Danio rerio: one gene and its partners. The protein of the gene in region 1 interacts with the protein of each later gene in a pairwise test. Links are inferred from orthologs where the notes say so. Each region holds a gene or a part of one and is shown in the gene's direction. Other genes may lie near its edges. The genes, in order: tceanc, obi1, csrnp1b and ssna1.

What was found.
Region 2: the proteins of tceanc (region 1) and obi1 interact in binary tests that used the Homo sapiens proteins (3 or more experiments, as listed by UniProt). The two-hybrid records come from large-scale screens. The link is inferred for Danio rerio from reciprocal best matches to the Homo sapiens genes TCEANC and OBI1.
Region 3: the proteins of tceanc (region 1) and csrnp1b interact in binary tests that used the Homo sapiens proteins (3 or more experiments, as listed by UniProt). The two-hybrid records come from large-scale screens. The link is inferred for Danio rerio from reciprocal best matches to the Homo sapiens genes TCEANC and CSRNP1.
Region 4: the proteins of tceanc (region 1) and ssna1 interact in binary tests that used the Homo sapiens proteins (3 or more experiments, as listed by UniProt). The two-hybrid records come from large-scale screens. The link is inferred for Danio rerio from reciprocal best matches to the Homo sapiens genes TCEANC and SSNA1.

The regions. Positions count from the first base shown.
Region 1 is NC_133176.1:39,099,246-39,104,325, forward strand, and holds tceanc (transcription elongation factor A N-terminal and central domain-containing protein), read left to right. Parts: upstream 1-2,157; 5' UTR 2,158-2,402; coding exon 2,403-3,608; 3' UTR 3,609-3,782; downstream 3,783-5,080.
Region 2 is NC_133181.1:5,242,158-5,247,686, forward strand, and holds the start of obi1 (ORC ubiquitin ligase 1), read left to right. Parts: upstream 1-2,141; 5' UTR 2,142-2,210; coding exon 2,211-2,282; intron 2,283-4,074; exon of another isoform or gene 4,075-4,107; coding exon 4,108-4,243; intron 4,244-4,541; coding exon 4,542-4,633; intron 4,634-5,529. UniProt on the Homo sapiens protein: E3 ubiquitin ligase essential for DNA replication origin activation during S phase.
Region 3 is NC_133199.1:23,587,185-23,592,902, reverse strand, and holds the start of csrnp1b (cysteine/serine-rich nuclear protein 1b), read left to right. Parts: upstream 1-2,241; 5' UTR 2,242-2,410; intron 2,411-3,079; exon of another isoform or gene 3,080-3,159; intron 3,160-3,388; exon of another isoform or gene 3,389-3,455; intron 3,456-5,718. UniProt on the Homo sapiens protein: Binds to the consensus sequence 5'-AGAGTG-3' and has transcriptional activator activity. May have a tumor-suppressor function. May play a role in apoptosis.
Region 4 is NC_133180.1:59,865,782-59,871,485, reverse strand, and holds the start of ssna1 (microtubule nucleation factor SSNA1), read left to right. Parts: upstream 1-2,252; 5' UTR 2,253-2,491; coding exon 2,492-2,543; intron 2,544-4,805; coding exon 4,806-5,005; intron 5,006-5,704. UniProt on the Homo sapiens protein: Microtubule-binding protein which stabilizes dynamic microtubules by slowing growth and shrinkage at both plus and minus ends and serves as a sensor of microtubule damage, protecting microtubules from the microtubule-severing enzyme SPAST.

The DNA.
Region 1 (5,080 bases):
GTCAATCATATTTATAGGTTACATTTCAATACTGGGGACTTAAATGTATGCCAGTTTTGTAATTTGGATATAACAATTAATCATTTGTTTTTCCAATGTAATCTGGTACAAACATTTTGGTATGATAATTAGTTTGGATACAACATAAAATTTCATCTTCATCCTTTTTAGACTCATCTTCTCATGCAAAATTCTTAAGTTTGATTTAATAGTAAGGATAAAAAGTTATTTTGAAAATGAATATTTGTATCCATTTCTCAGTGAATTTCTCAGGCAATGTATTTTGGTGCATTTAAACAAAACAGATTTATTAAACAGATGCTTTAAAGGATTAAGTCATAAAACATATTTAGAAAGTAAAAGATAATACATTTAAATTCAAGCCAAATATTGCAAAATAATAATAATAATAATAATAATAATAATAATAAATTAAATAAAAAAATTCAACCTACAAAATTTCAACAAAAACTTTCAATTTCTTGATATCTCATTTTTAAAATTTGTTTTTAATATTTTTCTATATCATATCAATTTGGGTGTACTAGTTTTTGGAACGTTATCGTAAGTTATTTTGTTAGATAAGCTAAAGATTTGGCTTCAGTGCTGACTAATCTAATGTATATGCACAAATATGATATTTTATAGCTTCATATTAAAAATGTGAATTTAAAAGATAAATTTGTGAGGGGTGTATGCTGAGCACTTTATATTAAATAACTTGTTGACATTATTACAATTCTATATTCATAAAATTTAATTTTTGGTGGTATTTAAAGATGAATATGTGATAGCATATTGGTTTTAGAATTTGAGTACTTCATCTCCCCTGCTACTTTTTCAATTATTTATTTTGTTTGTTAACTTTTGTTATTTATTTATTTATTCATTCATTCATTTATTTATTTATTTATGGTGTATTGTTATTATTAATGTGAATGAAAAGATTGTGAATGAAAAGATTGTGAATGCAAATTGATTGTCATCTCAGTCTTTTTGTGTAAATTAAAAAAAAAAAAAGTATTAAAGCTTTTCTGTTATTGTTTAAGCATTGTTAATTAAAAAGAAAAAGAAAAAAGTATCTAGCAAGACAGGACATTCTTATTGAAATATTCCAGACTCTGTACAGAATATATCACTTGGGAGTTAAAGTATAAAGTATGAAATAGTGTGCGAGTTGGCAAAGAAAGCACTAAAGTATACTCTCTAAAATGTTAATGTCCCATTGGGCAAATCTGAAATGTAGGGTTTAATTAAAGTCAGTAAAAAAAAGATGGCGACAGACATGGACTCAGGAAGAAAGGGGAAGACAATTGTATCAAATAATGAGGTAAGTTGGGTATGACAGGTTTGTGACAAAAGAAGGGATGACAATCTCATGCCTCCGAATTGGGCTCACTGCATTAAACCAATCACTGTTTGAAATTGGCAAACACGATACAGGTATGTGGAGTATATGTGGAAATCCAAAATTAGTTGAGCGTGTTATTTTAATTGTCATAGTTATAATGAGGAAAGATCTCAGCTTATGGAGGAAATGAAGAATGCAGGAAGTTTAAATCTAACACTAAAGAAGTAATAAATTGAATAACTAAATAAATAAACGGGCAACTCGGTGGCGCAGCGGGTAGCACAGTCGCCTCCTTGCAAGAAGGTCACTGGTTTGAGTCCCAGTTCGAGTCCGTTGGCATTTCTGTGTGGAGTTTTCATGTATTTCCTGTGTTGGCGTGGGTTTCCTCCGAGTGCTTCAGTTTTGTCCCACAGAAAAAGACATGCACTTGGTGTATAAGCTATGAGGTGTATAGGTGCTGTATTAGCTGTGTAAAACATATATTGGATAAGTTGGCAGTTCATTCTGCTGTGTCAAGCCCAGATGAATAATAGGACTAAGCTGAAGGAAAATTAGTGAATGAATTAATAAATTTAATAACTAAAGATGTTAATTTAATAAAAACTAAAGTATACCTAAAGTATCTTAAAAGACATTGTTACTTAGACAAGTTTAATTTATGTATTTGATTAAATAGCTTACCATTTTCTTTTCCCCCCATTTCTTTGCTTTGGTCTATTTCTGTATTCCTTTCTATATCAACCCCTCACCCTCCTCCCCACTAGGTGGCGGAAATTCAGTAAAGCTGCCAAAGTTTGCAAGAAGAAGAAGAAGAACAACAACAACAACTGCATTGCGTTGATGAAATACATGGCTGTAGAAGTAGCGACTTTGTAAAAAATGTTTTACTGCTTAGTTAATAAAGAAGATACGTGTTTGTCTGCAATTCAGATAACGTTAGCGGACATATTTTTATTACGCTTGAAAACTAAGCTAACGCTTCGGATTCTTCAAGAACAGTATTTTCCAGGTGTAACGCTACTCCTTAATTTTCCTTAATTTCGAAGACGTCATGCATACTAGAGAGATCATATATTATGCTACACAAATCGAAAGGTTGCACGAGGACGGCAGTTATGAAGATGTTATATCATTACTGACTGAACTCGACATCACTTCTGTCACGTTAGAGCAGATTCAGACAACAGATATTGTAAAAGTTCTTTACAGACTGCTTAAGTCCTGTCCTGTTTTGAGTGCTAAAACAAAAGCAAAAAGCTTGCTGACAAAATGGAAGAAGTTGTACAATTTGTCACATGCAATATTACTCAAAAATAATGACAAAAACACACGGGAGGACAAGGAATTAGAGACGCCAAACAGAGAGTCAGAGACGCATAACATGTCTAATGTTGAGTTACCATTGGGATTTCCATTTTTAACCAATGGATTTCAGCCCTTACATGAAAAAGTGAACGAGAGTCAAGCATGTAACACAAAGCAGCTTGATATAACAAAGGATGCAAACCAGGGAAAATGTAATAATGTATGCTTTAATGCATCTTCTAAAAAACTTTGTATAGCAACTGAATCTGCAGAATCTCTCCAGCCACAGCTTGAGCAAGAGAGCCTCACTCCAGCCGTGGAATCAAATAGATCTGATGCAGAGGAAGGTGCTCAAACCTCAGTTCCTCAAAACACAAATCAGCACACAACTAACTGTGACTCTACAGCACTGAGATCCAAATGTGTCCATCTGATTCTTCAGGCTCTTGGCACAAACCAACAAACAGACCCAGGTCATATGAACAAGCTCAAAGCCCTTGCTGAGAACATTGAGTTGCATGTTCATGCTCTTCATGGACGAAACCAGCATAAGTTCAAGTTTCATATTAGGAGCAAGGTTGCCAACCTAAAGAACCCAAACAACCCCCACCTACGCCAAGGCCTTATTTCAGGACAACTGACTCCAGATGCATTTGCCCAGATGTCTGTAGAGGAAATGGCAGGTGAGAAACTTCGACAGCTCAGAGAAACTTACACTAATTTGGCCATCAGTGAGCATCAGTTGCCAGAAACAGTTGAAGGCACCCCTACCAATAAAGTTCGCTGCAGGCAATGTGACAGTATGGATTGCAGGGTGACTCAAATCTCACGAGGGACTCTTTTCTTGCCATCCTGGGTGCAGAGTGGCAGTGCAGATAATGATTCTATGACTTTTATGACCTGTGCTAATTGTGGAGAACAGTGGTACCACAGTAATTGGGTTTGCCTTTGAGCAAGTGCGTAAAGATAGCAACATTGTTCTGTATTATTTGATCTGTACTATTGAAGTTTTTGTTCACAATGATGTTAAGATTGTCAATTATGTAGTCTTCAATTTGGTGCAGTGAACCGTATAATGCGCATTCATGTCTGTTTTGGAAGAGATGAATACACCAAGAATAATAAATATAATCTCTAAAAACTGGTTTTAGATGCATGTAACCATTAAAAAGGTAATTAATGTCTGTTTTAATCTAAGTATCAGTATGGCTAGACACACTTTTTTATGTTGACTTTAGATGTTTTATTTGTCCTCCAAAAACTTATGTAAAGTATATATTTAGATTATTTTCCATAAGTCACTGTTAAGTCTGTAAATATGGAAACGAATAACTATTGAACTGCTGTAAACATACATTTATAATTTATTATTATAATACGTATTTACTGGTTTTTAAACTTTTTTTCTTAAACTCTTCTCACATCAAATTGTTTTGTACATTACACGTCATCTATTTGTTGCAGTTTTTTTTTTTTTTTTTTTTACTAAAACAAGCTTCCCACACTTTTAGAAGGTACTTAAAAACAAACAGGTCCTTAAGGTTTGTGAATTAAATTTTAAATGAAATTCGATTATGCTGTTATTTCCACAATTGTAAAAACAATTGTAAAAAAGAGGTAAATTCTTAATTAGTATCGAATTCGACAAATTTTATTAAAGTTTTTGAACATGGCTATTTAAAATAAAATTCTTCATTCAAAAAACTCATCATTATGCACACAGTATTATTGTTAATTTTAAGTGTAAGTGAACTGTTGAGTACAGTAAGAAGTTTCATGGTGGTGGCAGTTTTAAAAGTCGTTGAAAGTCCTTGAATCTGCTGTTAATGAAAGAGTGGGAACCCCTGTATAACTGTGATGTTCTGTAATGACAGTAATCACATTCATAAACATGAACATGCTACATTCGGATAACACAAAGGAAACAGCTCAAATTTGATCTTGTGTCTAAGCTTAGCAAATGTGACGGAAAGTGTGCCACATCCAGAAAGCATGTGTAGTTGCTTTATGATTGCTTGGAATAATAATAATAAAACATCTTAAGTGCTTAGTTGTCTTACTAATCAGTTGTTACATCGAGTTGATTTCTTGCATATGTTTGTAATGAAATGACATGACTGTATGTGTTTTATAGAGAGGTCATGCTGCTAATCTGTAATGTCTGTAATGAATTACAGATGTAACCTCATCAAATAGAATAAATGCAATTCAGCTGAATTCAGCTTATACCCTTATTATATATATATATATATATATATATATATATATATATATATATATATATATATATATATATATATATATATATATATATATATATATATATATATATATATAGATGCAGTGGCACAGTAGGTAGTGCTGTCGCCTCACAGAAAGAATGTCGCTGGTTCGAAACTTGGCTTAGTTGGCTGTTCTGTGAGG
Region 2 (5,529 bases), on another chromosome or scaffold:
TCCGTTATACAGAAATTGGGGAAAAAATATACAGAAGGACTATAAAATTCAGGAGGGCTAATAAATCTGACTTCAAATGTATATTTGTGGTGAGCATAAATATTTTAAATAATGCTTTAAATAACTTAAACATTTAAATAATCCCACCCCCGAACCTTGAAACAACAACACTACAATCAGTGCAATTCATAGCTGTACCTTTCTTTTTAACAGCATCAAGGATGACCTTCTCCTCTTGAAAATGTGTTTTTGTGTGTAGACTCGTGATGCTCTGGATGAATCATTTCACTGGAGACCTGCTGATGAAATGGACGTCTCTTGTTGACACAGCTCTTGTTCCACTCGTGAGCAATGAAATGAGTAGCAAGCGATTTCTGCTGTTATTTTTGAGATGCTGATCTCACTGACAGGAGACGAAAGGAGCGAGGGAGTCTGTAGAAAATCAGAAAACCAGGCAAATTTGTGTTATTATGTAAGAGTGTGCTCAGCAGTTTGGTCTCTCTCTAGGAACGATGTCTTATTCTGCGTTTCAGGCCTGCTGGCGTACAGTGGTCTAAAAGTCTGGTCTCTGTGGGCTGTGTTGACATGAAAGAGCTGCAACAAATGACAGTAATGTAGTCGCAGCACCAATAGGCCGCTTGATGCAATCGATGTACAACATTGTTTTGCATCAGTTCGATGCTAATGAAGTTATATCACAAGCACTCGGCCACCGGCTCTGTCACTATGGGATAATAAAGACATCATTTGGCAATGACCAATGAATTATGAGATTGAATCAAAATGAAATAATACTCATAATGGTTTATACTGTCGCAATAAAACTCTCGAAACAAAGGGCTGACTTTAAGAGACCAAACGCTTTGGGAGAAAAGGAGGCAAACACTATTATAAATGCATTAAAAATGTTTGGTGTAGTAAATAAGTGAATAAATAAAAAACATCAATATTTTTTTATGATATATAATAATAAATAATCAAAAATAACAAATAAATAAAACAATAAAAATAACAAAATAATAAAAAATAAATAATTTACAATTATATATATATATATATATATATATATATATATAACAATAAATAAATATTTTCATTTTATATAATAAAAATAATTAAAAATAATAAACAAATAAAACAATAAAAAATAAATAAAAATAAGTATTTTACAATTATATAATAATAATAATAATAAAAATAATGAATAAATAAATAGATAAATAAATAAATAAATATTTTAAATTATATATAATAATTAAAAATAAAATAAATTAAATAAAATAATTAAAAAATAATTAAAAACATTAAAAATAAATAAACAATCAAATTAATATTGTACAATTATATATAAATAATAATAATAATAATAATAATAATACTAAGAAATAAATAATTATTTTTATAAGATAAATAATAATAAATAATTAAACATAATAAATAAATAAAACAATAAAAAATTAAAATAAATAGTTTACAATTATAGAAATAATAATCAAAAAATACATAAAATTTCATCTGGCTTTTAATTGCTGTTATAGGGTCTTACTATAATAAATATTATTTTATAACATATTTATTATTATTAAAAGTAATCTTTATCATTTACTGTTAAATGCTACTACTAATAATGATGTTTACTGAGAGAATGCATGCATATTTTATTATACAAAAATGAAATATTATAATTTATTACTACTCCTACTATTAATTAAACTATTGGTATTAGCTTAGATGATGATAATAATAATAATAATAATAATAATAATAATGCTCACTAAAAGAATGCGTACATATTAGCAGTATATAAGATACAATACAATGTTGATGAAGTTATTAAAATTAACCCATGTATTAATAAATACTACTTCTACTAATAATAATAATGCTTACTGAAAGATTGCTTACCTATTTTATTAGCAGTATATGAGATACAAACAATATTTTTTCAAGATTGAACTGAATAGTTTGTGGCTAATATTTTCTAAAAAAAAAAACAAAAAAAAAAAACAAGAGTTTCCTGCTTGGGAGCAAAACAAATGTACAATAAAACTAGCACTTGATTTCCTTTACATAAAAGCGCCACATTGAGATTTACGACAGACGCGTTTTACAGTAGAGCTCTGCGCTTGCCGTAGTCGCGTGGGTTCCTCGCCTCTTTTTGTCTCTGTTGGAGGGAGTTTTGGATCATGTTGTGCATTTAAGGACTAATCATGGCGCAAAGTTTTCAAAACGTCACTCTTTCGTTGACTTTACCCATATCCTGTCAGATTTGTCTCGGAAAGGTAACAAACTTTTAATACACTTAGTTTAAGTTACCGACAGAAGTTAAACTCGTACAGTGTGCTCGTCAACATCATGTCATTGTTGCATCTTAAATTATGTCTCGTTATGTCCATTATTTATTAATATATCTTTAACATAAAACTATTACGTAAGACACTGTGATAAAATAACGCCTATTAAAGATACAACGTCTAGAAACAGCGATAATTTCTAACAGTAAGTTAACTTACATTTGGTTTGAACAAACAAATTCCTGCAGGTTAACATTGAAGTTAAGTTGGTTTTATATTCACACATTCATCCTTAATAATATAGTTTCACAAAAGCTAATTCTAAATAGGGAAATCTTATTAGCAGCCAATGACTATCAAAGTACAGCATTGTTTACAGTTAAATAAATAGTGCTAATGTTGTTTTGAATCCATACTTTCATGCTTAAGACCGAATATTCAATGTAGCATGGTAAACAATATACGAACTGTTAAATGACCGAATGCGCGAATATAACTTTACCTTCATCTGGTTAACTGTGTTTATTACAGTCCACCCTATACACAACTTAACCTAGCTTTGCTGATTTAGAGTGTAATGTAATGATGCTTTGGTACGATAATTATTGTGAAAAGCGCTATTATACCAGTACACTTAAATAGAACTAAATTAAACAACAAAACATTCAAAAGCACCAGCCCGGTATTTACCTAAACACTTTTACTTCTCTGCTGCGTTGAGATGTATTGCTCAAAATGCAGTTAATGCTAACTGTTAAAAGCGTTTGCTAACATATGCATGTTTGACATGCAACACCTCATCTGATTGGTTTAAGTTTGTTAATGGGCAGGGCAAAGAATTTACTGAGGCAGGATGGGAAAATGGACTTGCTGAGGGTATTTTTTTTTTTTTATCATCTGTCTGTCTGTCCGTCCATCCGTCCGTCCGTTCATCCATCCATCCGTTCATCCATCCATCCACCCACATATATATCTGTCTGTCTGTCCGTCCGTCGGTCCGTCTGTCTGTCTATTTATCTATCCATCATCCATCCACCCACCCACATATCTATCTATCTATCTATCTATCTATCTATCTATCTATCTATCTATCTATCTATCTATCTATCTATCTATATCCATCCATCCATCTATCCATCCATCCATCCACCCACATATCTGTCTGTCTGTCCGTCCGTCTGTCTATTTATCCATCCATCCATCCATCCATCCATCCATCCATCCATCCATCCATCCACCAACATATCCGTTCGTCCGTCTATCCACATATCTGTCTGTCTGTCTGTCTGTCTGTCTTTCTGAATCCTAGTAATCTAGAAGTATTGCATCATAAATATTTATTGTTACTTTATTACAATATTATATCGTACCCTGTAAAATTGTATTTAGAATATTTTTACTAGCTTTTATTCACGTTTATATTAATTTCATATACAATGCTATTATTTAGATTGCTAATTTTTAAATATATTTTATCAAGTACCTGTCAAAATAAATATGTAGTTTAATTTGTACATAAATCCACGTCACCCTGAACGACAATAATGATTATTAATTCATCCATATTTTGACATTTTATATTATTTGAAGCATTTTATAAGTAATTAGCTTTTAGATTTAATATGCTTCTGTGTATGTGAATCATCATTTTTAGGTAGAATTTTTGACCCACATGCATGAGTTATTTGTCATCTTTGTTAACAATGATGAGTAATGTAGATAATGATCATTGTTAGTTGTCATGAATATCAACAAGCATGAATCATGATGCTTAATTTACCTGTTGTTGGTTTTTTTTGGCTCTGATTCGCAGGTGCGTCAGCCGGTCATTTGTTGCAACAACCATGTGTTCTGCTCCAGCTGTATTAAAGTCTGGCTGGAGAAGAGCAGTCAGTGTCCCACCTGTAGAGTGGCCATCACCCCAGAAAACCCCTGCAGAGAAATCATTGGTAAAGTCAACACACTTCCTGGTCAAACCTTGCTGTTATTGAAATATGAAGCTCTTTTTGAATGTGATTAAATATAATTGAAGTAAAAATATTTAGTCTTCCTTTGAAATTTAAATTATTTTATAATATTTCCCAAGTGCTGTTTAACGTAGACACTTTTCCCCTCTGCTCTGTTACACATCACTTGGGAAATATTTGGAAAAAGAATACAAAAATTCACAGGAGGGCTAATCATTTTGCCTTCAACTGTATGTTTCTTCATGTTTGACAGTGTGTGTGTCTGTCTGTATGCTCACAGGAGCCACAACCGATACTGACTCCAATGAGAGCAATTCTGTAAAGAGACGCCTCCGAAAGACTCGAGGGGAGCTGCTTTTACGAGAATATGAGGTTCTTTTGCTCAAACACCCAATAAACTTATCGTTTGTTTTCTTTGTTGACGTTTCTAGTGTAGGGTAGCCTTCATTTACAATTCACCTACATCAGGGGTGTCCAAACTAGGTCCTGGAGGGCCGGTGTCCTGAAGAGTTTAGCTCCAACCCTAATCAAACACACCTGAACTAATCAAGCTCCTACTAGATATACTAGAAACTTCCTGCCAAGTGTGTTGAAGCAAGTTGGGAGCTAAACTATGCTGGACACCGGCCCTCCAGGACTGAGTTTGGACACCCCTGACCTACATCCAATGTTAAAAACCAGTGTAAGCATAGTGTGAAACGTTACAAGCATTTAACCACTTCCAGAGGTAGTCATAAATGCATTTGACTGGATTACTTTCATATTTTGTCACTTATGTGGTTGACTGTGTTCAAACCACTTAAAAGACAAGATTGGAATATGGGAAAAAGTGCACCAAAACAAGATTTCATTTTATTTGTAGTAACAAAACATCATATCACAACCATTTTCATTGACTTGCTTGTTCTTTCTTGTTCACCCCCAAGCCAAATAAGAGATTTCCCTCCAAAACCAGTGAAGAAAATATGCAAAGTTTATATCCTTATCTCCACACATTTGATTTACTTTAATTAGTCTTTAAGACATGTGTTGCCCAGTGTGCAAATTACAGGGGGATTTTTGGAGGAATTGACCCCCCTAATTAACACTTGATCCTCCTGAAGAAGGACAGAATAAGATGTATGTGCGGTTCAGCCCTTTAATAGTGAGAACTAGTTATGTTTTATCTGTACCTTAAATAATAATATTAATAATTAACATAATAGATAATGTGAATATACATTTGACCACCCCTATAATGGTTCATACCATTGCATAATTGCACCATT
Region 3 (5,718 bases), on another chromosome or scaffold:
ATGTTGACGTCCTGTGCCTGCTTGGTGTGTTTGTCTTCTTTTTGGTCAAAAATTTAACATGGCAGATCTTAAAAGTTTTTTTTTTGTTATAAGATGTTAGAAGCCAGACTTTTGGGAGTGCTCATCCCTTCAACTTTTTCCACTTTGCAATGAGTTCTTTTTATCTTGTGAAATCATTTATCAACATTATGACATGTATTTGCGTTGGAAGCACACTGAGTCTCTTTTTCCCTCTTTAACAAATTTCTCAGCTGCTCAAGACCACGGCGACACAGCAAGAGTCTTTACCCCTAGTGGTTTTGTTGGCGTGAGTTGAATAAAGGAGTAATAAAGTAGACCTGCATTCATTTGAATAGCATCTAAAACCATACAGGCGGCAGCCAAGCTAATCAGGAAAAAATTCCAGACCCATAAACACACACTTATGATTTTACACGTGCAGTAATAAGTAAACCATTACTGATGAATCACATCGACGATTATAGTTACACACTCCTTAGTAACATGAACTCCATAAACAACAACATTGTCTGTAAATGTGCTCAAAAGCTGTAATTTGAGCACTGCTTAGCTTAACGGTGTGATTTGTGTATTGAAACAACACCAGACCTGTGACTCTCAGCAAGCCACCAGACTTGTGTATTTAGTTTTGGGATGGAGAAGATAATTCTCTTTACAGGACCCAGAGGGCTGAAGCTCTCTAAGAAGAGGAGTGCGATTGCGTGTTCAATCTGTACTTCTGGCGACTCCACCTAAACACTTAAGACACTTTGTGTTTTACACCTGTGTTGACACTGGCAGCACTCCCTTTTTCAATAGAAATCGAAAGTTTACTCCACCCGAACGTGTCTACGATGTGCACGATTCTGATAAACACTGCATTAGTGTAATTCTGCATTACAGAGGCGTGCACAGTTAATGATGACACAGCTGACAGGACGAGAGATGCTGTAGATATAGGAGGACACGGCATGTTCAGTCATACCTGAAATCACTGGGATGCATCGTGAACTTGCCATCAACCCCAGTCCAACCTAGAGAAGGAATGCAAATGTAATGTAATCTAATGGCTTATTCAGTATGTCTGAGAGTTGTTTTCATGTCGGCTCAGAATGCCGCTGCAACTGTATGACCAATAAATTAGGCAATGGTTTTACAAGTTTTGCTGCTGAATGATGCAGAAGGATTGCGGGATTTACTGATAAATGATGCAGGGTTTATGACTCACTACTTCAGTGAGGTTGACTCAGGAAATCTGATTGTATAAACATCTATCAAACTGCATAGATTTATTCATTTAAACAGTTTTTGTTATAATTGACATCACAATAAATGTATATAAAATGTAAAATTTATGTAAAACATGTAAAGAGTGTAAAACAAAAATGTAAACAACTATAAATACCATTAATACAAATTACTGTATTAATGTACAACACATTACTTTACATATATAACATCATTACATTTTACAGTCCTATATAATTTTAAAATACTTTTTAAATATAGTTCACATATAACATTTTGTAATATTTTGAGTTATTTGTCCATATATAATTATTTATTATAATTATTTATTATCATTATTTAGTAATAATATTAATTTTGATTATGTGATTGACACTTTTATATTGATTATATACATTTTAACATAAACGTCGCAGAAAAAAAAAATATATACACATACATATATATATATATATATATATATATATATATATATATATATATATATTTTTTTTTTTGATTATGTGATTGACACTTTTATATTGATTATATACATTTTAACATAAACGTCGCAGAAAAAAAAAATATATATATGTGTATATATATATATATATATATATATATATATATATATATATATATATATATATATATATATATATATATATATATATATATATATATAGAAAGCTACTTTAAAGCAAAATAGATTCTGGTTATCTTAAAATGTTTTAAGAAAGCACAATTGATCATGATTTCAGTGTGTATACTCCAATATTTTGCCAGCCACTGTGGTTACCATAGTAAATGTTTTGAAGGCAATGAAAGATTTACAGTTTCCCATAACTCGCGCTGTTGTTCCGGTCTCTCTCTCGTTCTCTGTGTGCGCCAGGAGGAGTGTCGCCCCGCGCGGAAGGCAGGAAGCGGCGCGTGGGCTCAGTGTCACCGCCTGCGTCACACGCCAGGAGGGAGTTTTCCACTGACGAAAAGACTGCGCTGCTCCGCGTCTGCTTCAGACAAGAGGAACAGCTTCAGCTGCCGCTCCAGTCCGCCGAGCGCACAATAGCCGCACGAACACAACGGGATCTCTTTACGGATAAACGCGCGATCGCATCTCTTGGATTATTACAGCTTCATCTTTTCCTAGATAGTGATTTACTAATGCTGATCGGACACGTTATTGGTGAGTAGCGGAGCTCCGCGCTGTTTAACGCCGCACTTGTAATGTGTCTAATAGGCAAACCTCGGATCTGGAGTCCAGCCAGATAGTTTCAATGTTCTTTTGTCGGCCAGTGTAAAGAGATAAAATGTGTTGTGTAACTATTTCAAGTAGCAAATCCAGAGGACATTGTTGTATACTGTCGTGGCAGAAAAAAAAACTAACTAAAGTTATTAAGCCATTGTCTTGCGTTTTAATTGTGTTATAATAAACTCTGGTAAGCTTAATTAATTTAATTTCTGGTGCTTTAATGTAAACCGTTTTAAGTGTGTAGATCGGTCTAAATATTCGCGGGTTTTATGCTTTTTTCTGTCAGTAATTTTGATTGGCAGTGTTTGCTGGGTTTTAATAAAAGATAGCCTTATTCTCATAAGCAGCTGTTGGCGGTTCTGATCGGATCCATTGGCAGAATTCCAGGATAGTGGACCGTATGTGTGTGTATCCGATAAGCCGTAATTGCTAGTTTGAATGTGTGTGAGTGTTGAGTGCATTCCTCGTTCACGTTTATAGCGCTGGTGTAGCCTATCTTCTGAAGCGCGAGCGACTCCTTAAGGTGCCACACCGCATCAGTTCAGTAGTCTGCATGCAGATCTGCGCTCAGCCTCATATGCACTTCCAGTCCTCGATGACGTCACCGAGGGTGCATACAAGGCTGAATGCAGGTCTGGGGGAGACCTTACTTGATCCGATCCAAACTTCAGCTGGTCGAACCGGTATTTGATCAATAGCCTATAAATGGCTTTTACAGTGCTATTTTATTTGGCTACATTTAAAGGCGCACATAACCAATTGCCTATAATTCATTCACAAAGAAAAGTGTTTTTTATTTATTTATTTAAAAGCAAGCAAAACAGTCTCCCCAGGTCATTTGATAATTGGTTTGATTGACAGTCAATCACGAGGCAACAATCACCAACACGTTGTGCTCTGCGTGATTGGGATAACTGAAGTAAATTAATATTCTCATTCCACTCGGTTTGTTACAATCTCACGGCATTCCTTTTGTCAGGTAATTTTCAATTCCTGACTGTGAGCACATTGAATGTTTGATGGTGGGATTCATTGAGCTTGTTATGTAAATTTTAGTTCAATAATTTCAGTATTTTTTGAAGGCACGAGCGCAGAAGGGTGTGTTATGATGATGATGCTTGTATATTTGTGGCTGTGTCGTAAGTTTGAGTGTGTTTATTTTGCGCGTGCTTCTGTGTGAACGAGCGCGCAGTCGCTGTCACGCGCGACCTCACTCGGATTGTTTGTGGGAACACAAGTCGGATTTTTTCTGGTGTTTTTGTTGACATACCTCACACATTTAGGGGATTTATATTCTTAAAACGAGCTTAGTAAGTCCATTAGCGTTTTATTTCATTTAAAATGCTTTTGCACTACCCTGTGGTAAACTGTTTACAAGTGAGACTTTTTATTCCCATAACCTGCGATGTTGTTTTGAATTCAAGTGCACGTTAAACTAATCAAACAGGACCATAAAAGATTGTATTGTTTACTTACTTCTGGGTTGATGAGGTGTGAACTTGCACGTGTTCCAGAGTCAGTGAAATCACTCAGCTGGTTAAAGTAGCATGTCTGGATAGTTTCCTCCCTCTTCCTATTTAAATCCAGTCATGCTTTGAAAAAATTGAGATGATGCCGTCATAATTGGTGTACATCACAACATGTCATTTTTATTAATCTCCCACCCACAGGCAGGGTGTTTTTATTTGGATAGATATGTGTGTGGCTTTTGTGCAATAGTATTGGGGGGGGTGTTGAAGTCCTGATGTCTCTAAAACCGAGAAGCAGAGGGAACCCATCTGTTTTGTCACTCTCCAACATTCCTCCCAGCTTGTGAGGTACCAGCAAGTGCCCCAGACGTAAGCTGATGACCCCTGGGCTCCCCCCATCCTATAGACGCACACATATACTCTCCCTTGTGAGTCCCGAGAGACTGGTAAAGATGGCTAGTATTTGTTTTTGTCACCATTAAGTTAGTCAGAACAAACTCATACAGATGACTTCTCAAGGAACCTACACTTTGCGGACTGTGTTGGAAGTTTGCATTTCGGATATTGATGCAAATTGCTGCATGTGGAAGTATTTTCTTTCAGTTTTGGCAATTTCCTGAGCAGTCAGAGTTTCTATTCGTTGACATAAACCAGGAGCAGTGATTCTCTCGAAACTGTTAAATAACTTTAGGAGGGTGTTTTGAGATGTTTTTCTTATGGCTCTTAGCATAATTTAGATGACCTTTAGATGGTGATCTTCATAATAATTAATAATCGGTTCATCGTCATGTGAGGGACCCCCATCCTAAAAAGTAAACAACAGTATATGGTCAAACAGATCTGATTCATTTTGTTATTTTATAAAATGTTACATTTCCACCTCTCTGAATTCCAGTGTGAAATATTGTCTAAGTTAGAATTGGTACCCTTTTTGCTTAAATAACTTTTTAATTCAAATTGAAAACATGTCTATGGAAATGCGAAGTTTGATGATGTATTGAATCCATAGTGTAGCATGTGAGAGAAATCTTCATCTCCACCCTAATAACATCATCTCGTCAATATGACAATAACGTCATCATCTCTAATGATTCGCGACTCCATCAGGTGTTTGTGTCGGTGTTTCTGTCTGAGGTGGATCCTCTTGGGCAATAGTGGTCTGGACAATGCAGACACATCTGGGATAGATAGACTATTACAGAACGTGCCGCTATGCCAGAGTAGAATTCCTGTGGGCTGGAGACATCGCATTATTTATTTGTTTAAAGTTCTCGCCCGCTACCCTCCTCCCACATCAGTGCGCTCTCCTATTTGGGATGAATGTGTGCTCTGCATGGGTTGAGGCTCAGGAACAGAATGTCTCTGGCGTAGTTTAACATCTAGAGTGATGATCGGCACAACCACACATCTCCCTCCTCTCGCCTGACTGCAGTTTTTAAAGGCTGACCAGCAGAGGGAGGGTTTCTTATATTCTGCTGGAATTTGAATTCCAATACAATTATTGCAAGTGATTTTTTTTTTTTTTTTCACTAAATATTATTTATACTTGCGCTTTTTAGATAGTTAAGATGAGGTACACCCTGCACATTACTTAATCATCTGGATGGGTGCTGTGAGCTGGAGGGGCAAAGTCAACCCTTGCATAATGTTAGGTCAGGATTCCACTGTTTGAAGGTAGTTTAGACAATCGGCTCAGTGGTGCAAGTTGTTTTTATGCTTTGTAGAAGCAGGAAGGGAAGAAAAAAAGTGTTTCTAAAGTGATAGTTCACCCAA
Region 4 (5,704 bases), on another chromosome or scaffold:
TTGCACAGGAGAGACCTAAAAAATTGGTTGGGTTACATGTTTGATACTTTAAATACATAGAAGTGTAAAAACATCAGGCTCTATTTTACGATCTAGGTGCAAAGTCTAAAGCACATGGTGTAACAGGGTTGTGCCAATTCTCTTAATAGGTTTTGGGTGTGTTTTGAGCAAAACGTGCATTAAACAAATCAGAGTTTCATCCAACAATTCCTTTAAGAGTCAATTGCAATGCGCCATGGCACATTTGCTATTTACATGGTGTGTAATAAACATGAATTTGTAAGTGGAAAAATTGAATGCTTTACTAGCAAGAAAATGATTAAACAGAACACTTGCAGCGCGAGGATAAAGAACGAGCCTCCTACTCATCTTTACTTTCTCTTTACTCCTTTACTTTTGTGAAGTTAGGAGCGGTATTGTACACACTCCAAAGACATCTATTAGACTACAAATGAGCAAATCAATGAAAATATCAACCTTGCCATGAAAAAAATCCAAATTACGGAAAATTCATATTATGGTTTCTGGGTTTTTTGGGTAAGCGAGTATTTTACAGTACTTTAGAAATACTCAAAAATGAATCCGTCAATTTTTTCACTTCAGATCATTTTGGAAGGGCACTTTCTATCCTAGACTAAAAAGGGCATGTACACTGCACAGGCTGAGCCCTATGTGTGCACGTTCCTGATCCAGAACACTAAACAGCACGATTTGATTTGTATCTTTGTTCTGTTGTATTCATTTATGCTTTCGATTTGTTTATTGTACATTGTAATAAACACACTCCCTACACAAATATCACAATATTTTAGATTCTTTCCTAATAGTTTTTAATTTAAATCATCTTATGAAGTGACATTAAAATCGTAATATATTTCATAGAACACATGATATTGCAAAATCAGTTCTTGCAAAATCGTGCAGCCCTGTAAAAAGATTATTTTTGATTTCCAATTAGATGCTTTAAGAAGCTTTCTCTTTCAGCATTCTAGCGCCTTTCACCTTATCGTTAGCATTACACGATTTAAATTATGTTTAACACTCACCAGAGAAGATGTCACTGTGTCCCAGGCTACTGACAGTCCCTGCGGCACAGACTGCATCTCGTTCATTAGAGCGCAGATAGTAAACAGCAGTTAGGCTATGCTCGTTGCACTTATCCGTCCATATCCCGTTACTCCGTAATAAACATGTCTAAAATATACAATAAAATATTTCATGCACTGAGAAAATGTAGCGCTCTTCTTCAAACTGCCGTCGCTCGTCGATGACGACATTGATGTTACTTTACCGGATGTTGATAATCGTAAGAAGAAGACGAAAAAAAGATAATCGTTCATTGATCCAGTTGTCTGATACCAAATAAGCTTATAAAACCTTATCTGTTTGCAAATTTTTTTCCCAATGTTTAATGAGTAACTTTTGCTTTTTTAGTTGTTTTTAGTTGTATTTTTCTTCACTGTTAAAGATAATTATTTAGCCTATTTGTTGTTGTATGTATAGTCTTATATTGTATACACTGCTTAGGGGCTTAAAATTATTTTTAAAATAATAAAAATAATAATTATAAGAAATGGCAACGTATAAATACTACTACTACTACTACTACTACTACTAATACTACTACTACTAATAATAATAATAATAATAATAATAATAATAATAATAATAATAACATTTTTTTCTTTTTTCATTATGTTTTAATAAAATTAACAATAAAATATAAAATAAAATAGTAAATAGTACACAGGCAAATTATCCAATTAAATAATATTTACAAAGTAAATAAAAACTTTGTAAATAAAGACAAAAAAATTCACAGTTTTAACACTTTTTGCTGTAAACTTTTTGTAAAGAATAATAATAATAAAATGATGATGATGATGATGATGATGATGATGATGATGATGATGATGATGCAAGTTCTTTGCGACTCTCTCATGAATGATTGTTTGCTTAATTATATTTAAAATGATTAACTCAGTACCTATTACACATTTATTATTATGATTCATGCGTTCGTTGTTTTTTATCTATCCTCTATAAATTAAAACTCAGAAGGCCTGTTAGGTGTAGTTTAATTTACTGGAAAGGCATGGGATGTGTTCAGTGTACTTTATTGTCATTGCATTTTCATATTCTGACTGCCTTTTTATTTGTTAAATGATTCATCTTTTTTACAGCTTTGTGCAAATTTATAAAATAAAAGTCTAACGGAAACCGTCATGACGACGCTTCTTTGACGTTTCCGTGGAAACAGGAGGGAGACTTGACTTGATTCACTCGCTTCTGGAATGTTTTCTTTAAACTTACTCCCCTCGCTGATCTGCATCATTTAATACCCGGTAAAGTGTACGGCTTGTTGTTTCAAGGAAAAGCCTGCATCAGAAGGTACAGCAAACTAACTGACTTCACTGTATGAAACGTCTTGAGCGATTAAACTAGTTAAGAGGCCTTTTTGTGTTGTTAGCTAGCTAGCCTGGTGATCAGAATGACCCAACAAGGAGCTGCGCTGCAAACCTACAACAACGAGCTTGTCAAGTGTAAGTAGCCATATATTTCATTTTGCCGACAGGGGAACATTCGTTTCCTGTTTATTTTAAATTTCTTGTTACTTTCATCTGGTTGTATGTGGATGTTTGCTGCTAGTCTCACTCAAATTAGCTTATAAATAATCAGAAAACTAGTTTTAAAAAATCGAATTCATGTTCAACCAATGTTTAACCTGTGCCTTTGTTCATTTACATTATTAACCTCACTGCTTTTAGCAAAGAAGGCATTTACTTATTTATAAGAAAGATCAAATTGATGTCTTTTCAAGTCTGGGGTGAAACACCGATAATCCTTTTAATGAGATTGAGTGGATTCAGAAAGTATTCAATCACGTGTATCAGGTAATGTCAGGGTTCATACGGTCATGGAAAACCTGGAAAAGACATGGCATTTTGACATGGCATTTTCTAGGCCTGGAAAAGTTTTGGGAAAACAGAAAAACCACTATGTTTTGGAAAAGTAATGGAAAACATATGTTTATACTTGAATATAGGTTATTTTACGTTACTTCTTTTCTGTCCCTGGTCAGTCACATACTCTCACATTATTGGTGAGAGAATTATCAATTTTACATGGATATAAATATAAAATGAAACTAGATGGATTGTTGCATGTTTTATGATATGTAATAAATTTAAACATGCATTGTTTGTCTTTTACCACACATATGTAGACATTGCATCTTGAAAAAATCATGGAAAAGTTATAGAATTTTAGTAGTAAAAATGTGTATGAACCCTGTAAAGTCTTTGCATTAGGTTAAATGTTGAACTCCCAGTTAGTGTTTCTCACTTTCACATATGTGTTGTTCATCACTTAAACTATGATCTTAACACACCGACATTTGACAATAAGGTAAAATAACATCATTTGTCTTCATTTTGATAAACATAATATATGTTAATTAAACATTGTTCTAACATTCAGGTCACATTTTAAAAATACTGTAAAACTCTCAATTCAATTCATGTATATTTCTCTAGTGCTTTTCAATGAAGAGTGTTTCAAAGCAGCTTAACATAGACGTTATAGTAAATTGATACCATGTCAGTCCCGTTTTCAGAGTTGAAGTTCAGTTCAGTTCAGTGTGGTTTAATTTTCACTGCTGGAAGTCCAAAAACTAAAGAGCGGGTGTTCAGGCTGCCCCACAGGATCAATGCAGGGACTCGTCTGTCAATGTGGTCTTTCAGGAATCATTCTCATGCTCTTCGCTCCTTCATGACTGCCACAGCATCCACTCAGAATACGGCCTGGTTGAGGATATGGATACCTCTAAAAGTCCTCTATGGTTGGCTTAATTTCTTCACAGGTCTTGGATCATTGGCGCTGCGTAATCTTTAGAGGCCTCAGGATGAGTTTCCCCAGGTGGAAATAGAGAATAATAAATCCTGCCTTAAAGGAAAGATAAAGAAATGCAAAATTCCACCTTCGGAACTTAAGCCACTAATAAAAGGCTATATTCTAAACAAAGGGCAAACAGAATGGGATCAGTGCTCGGAAAATAAACTTTGAAATTCAGCCAGAAATAGGAAGAAAATCCAATTTATTTTTTATCTCAAGACACGGTAAGATTGTTTATAGAAGATGCCGCATCTGCCGAGACTCACACATGAACATTTACTTAAAGGAGAAGAACCAGTAAAATGTCAATATTGCCAAAGAAACCAAACTGTTAAACATTCTTGTGGAATGCCCTATTTAATGTTATCAGACAATAGTTTTTATTTGGAAAGGCTTTAAATAAAATAGTTTTAAATGGGAATCCTTCTAAAATTGTAAATTTTATATCAAAAGTAATCCTTAAAAACTTTTTTAGATTTTTATCTTGTATATTATCATTATTTATTTATTTATTTATTTAACCTTGTTCATTATTAATTGCTGTTAGTGACTTTTAATTGTTAGAATATTTTTATAACTATAGAAAAGTGAAACTTATAATATGTGGTAAACTTGATTTTTTATTATTTTTTTATTTTTTATTTTATTTGCCATGACATAACCAAAGAAGCTGAAATGGCAATAAACTCAAAATTCTCTCTCTCCTATACAGTAGCCTCAGCCCTTAGTCTTTTTTGCATCAGTCAGCAGGAGGAAGTGCTGAGCAAGCCTTCGTATGTCATTTATATGCACTCCCTTTCCACTATCACAACATGAATGTAAAGCAACATAAGGAAAACATGGATATGGGCTAAAACTGCTCAGCAATTTCAAATGATGGCCTCTTTCCTTCTCTTTGTTTTTTTTTTCAGGTATAGAGGAGCTTTGCTCTAAAAGAGAAGATCTGAACCGGCTGATCCAGCAAGAGGAAGCAGAGAAAGCTCGTCTGCAACATGACATCCGTGTGCTAACAGAGAAGCTAAGTCGTGTAAACGAGAGCCTGGCCCACCGCCTCAGTGCTCGTGCTGAGTTTGACCGCACCATTGCAGAGACGGAAGCTGCGTACATGAAGGTGTGGAAACAATAACAAATTAGACATTATCTTCATAGAAAAAAAACAAGTCGCTTTATTAAAATTGCATCAGCGAGAACTTTATCGAGCGAGAGAATTGAATTTTATTTTTCAGAAATTATGTGATACGAATTTGCTAAACCCAGTGCCAGCCTAGTATCTCAAACAAATTCATGAATTAAACTTGTACAACCTTTCTAAAATTAATGAATAATTAAGGAATTATTGTTTAAAACATAGGTGTCAGTGCTGTTGCCTCACAGCAAGAAGGTCACTGGTTCGAGCCTCGGCTGGGTCAGTTGGTATTTCTGTGTGGAGTTTGCATGCTCTCCCTGCGATAGCACGGGTTGCCTTCGGGTGATGCGGTTTTCCCCACAAGTTCAAAGACGTGATATTGGTGAATTGGGTTTGCTAAAATTGACTGTAGTGTATGTGTGTGAATGAGTGTGTATGGATGTTTCCCAGTGACAGGTTGCAGCTGGTTGGGCATCCGCTGCATGAAACATAAACTGGATAAGTTGGCAGTTCATTCTGTTGTGGCGACCCTTGATTAGTAAAGGGACTAAGCCAAAAAGAAAATGAATTAATGAATGAACACCGGTGACAAACTCGGTTACTAGAGAGCCGCGCTCTGCACAGTTTAGTTCCAACCCTAATTAAACACACTTGAACAAACTAATTTAGTCCTTCAGACTTGTT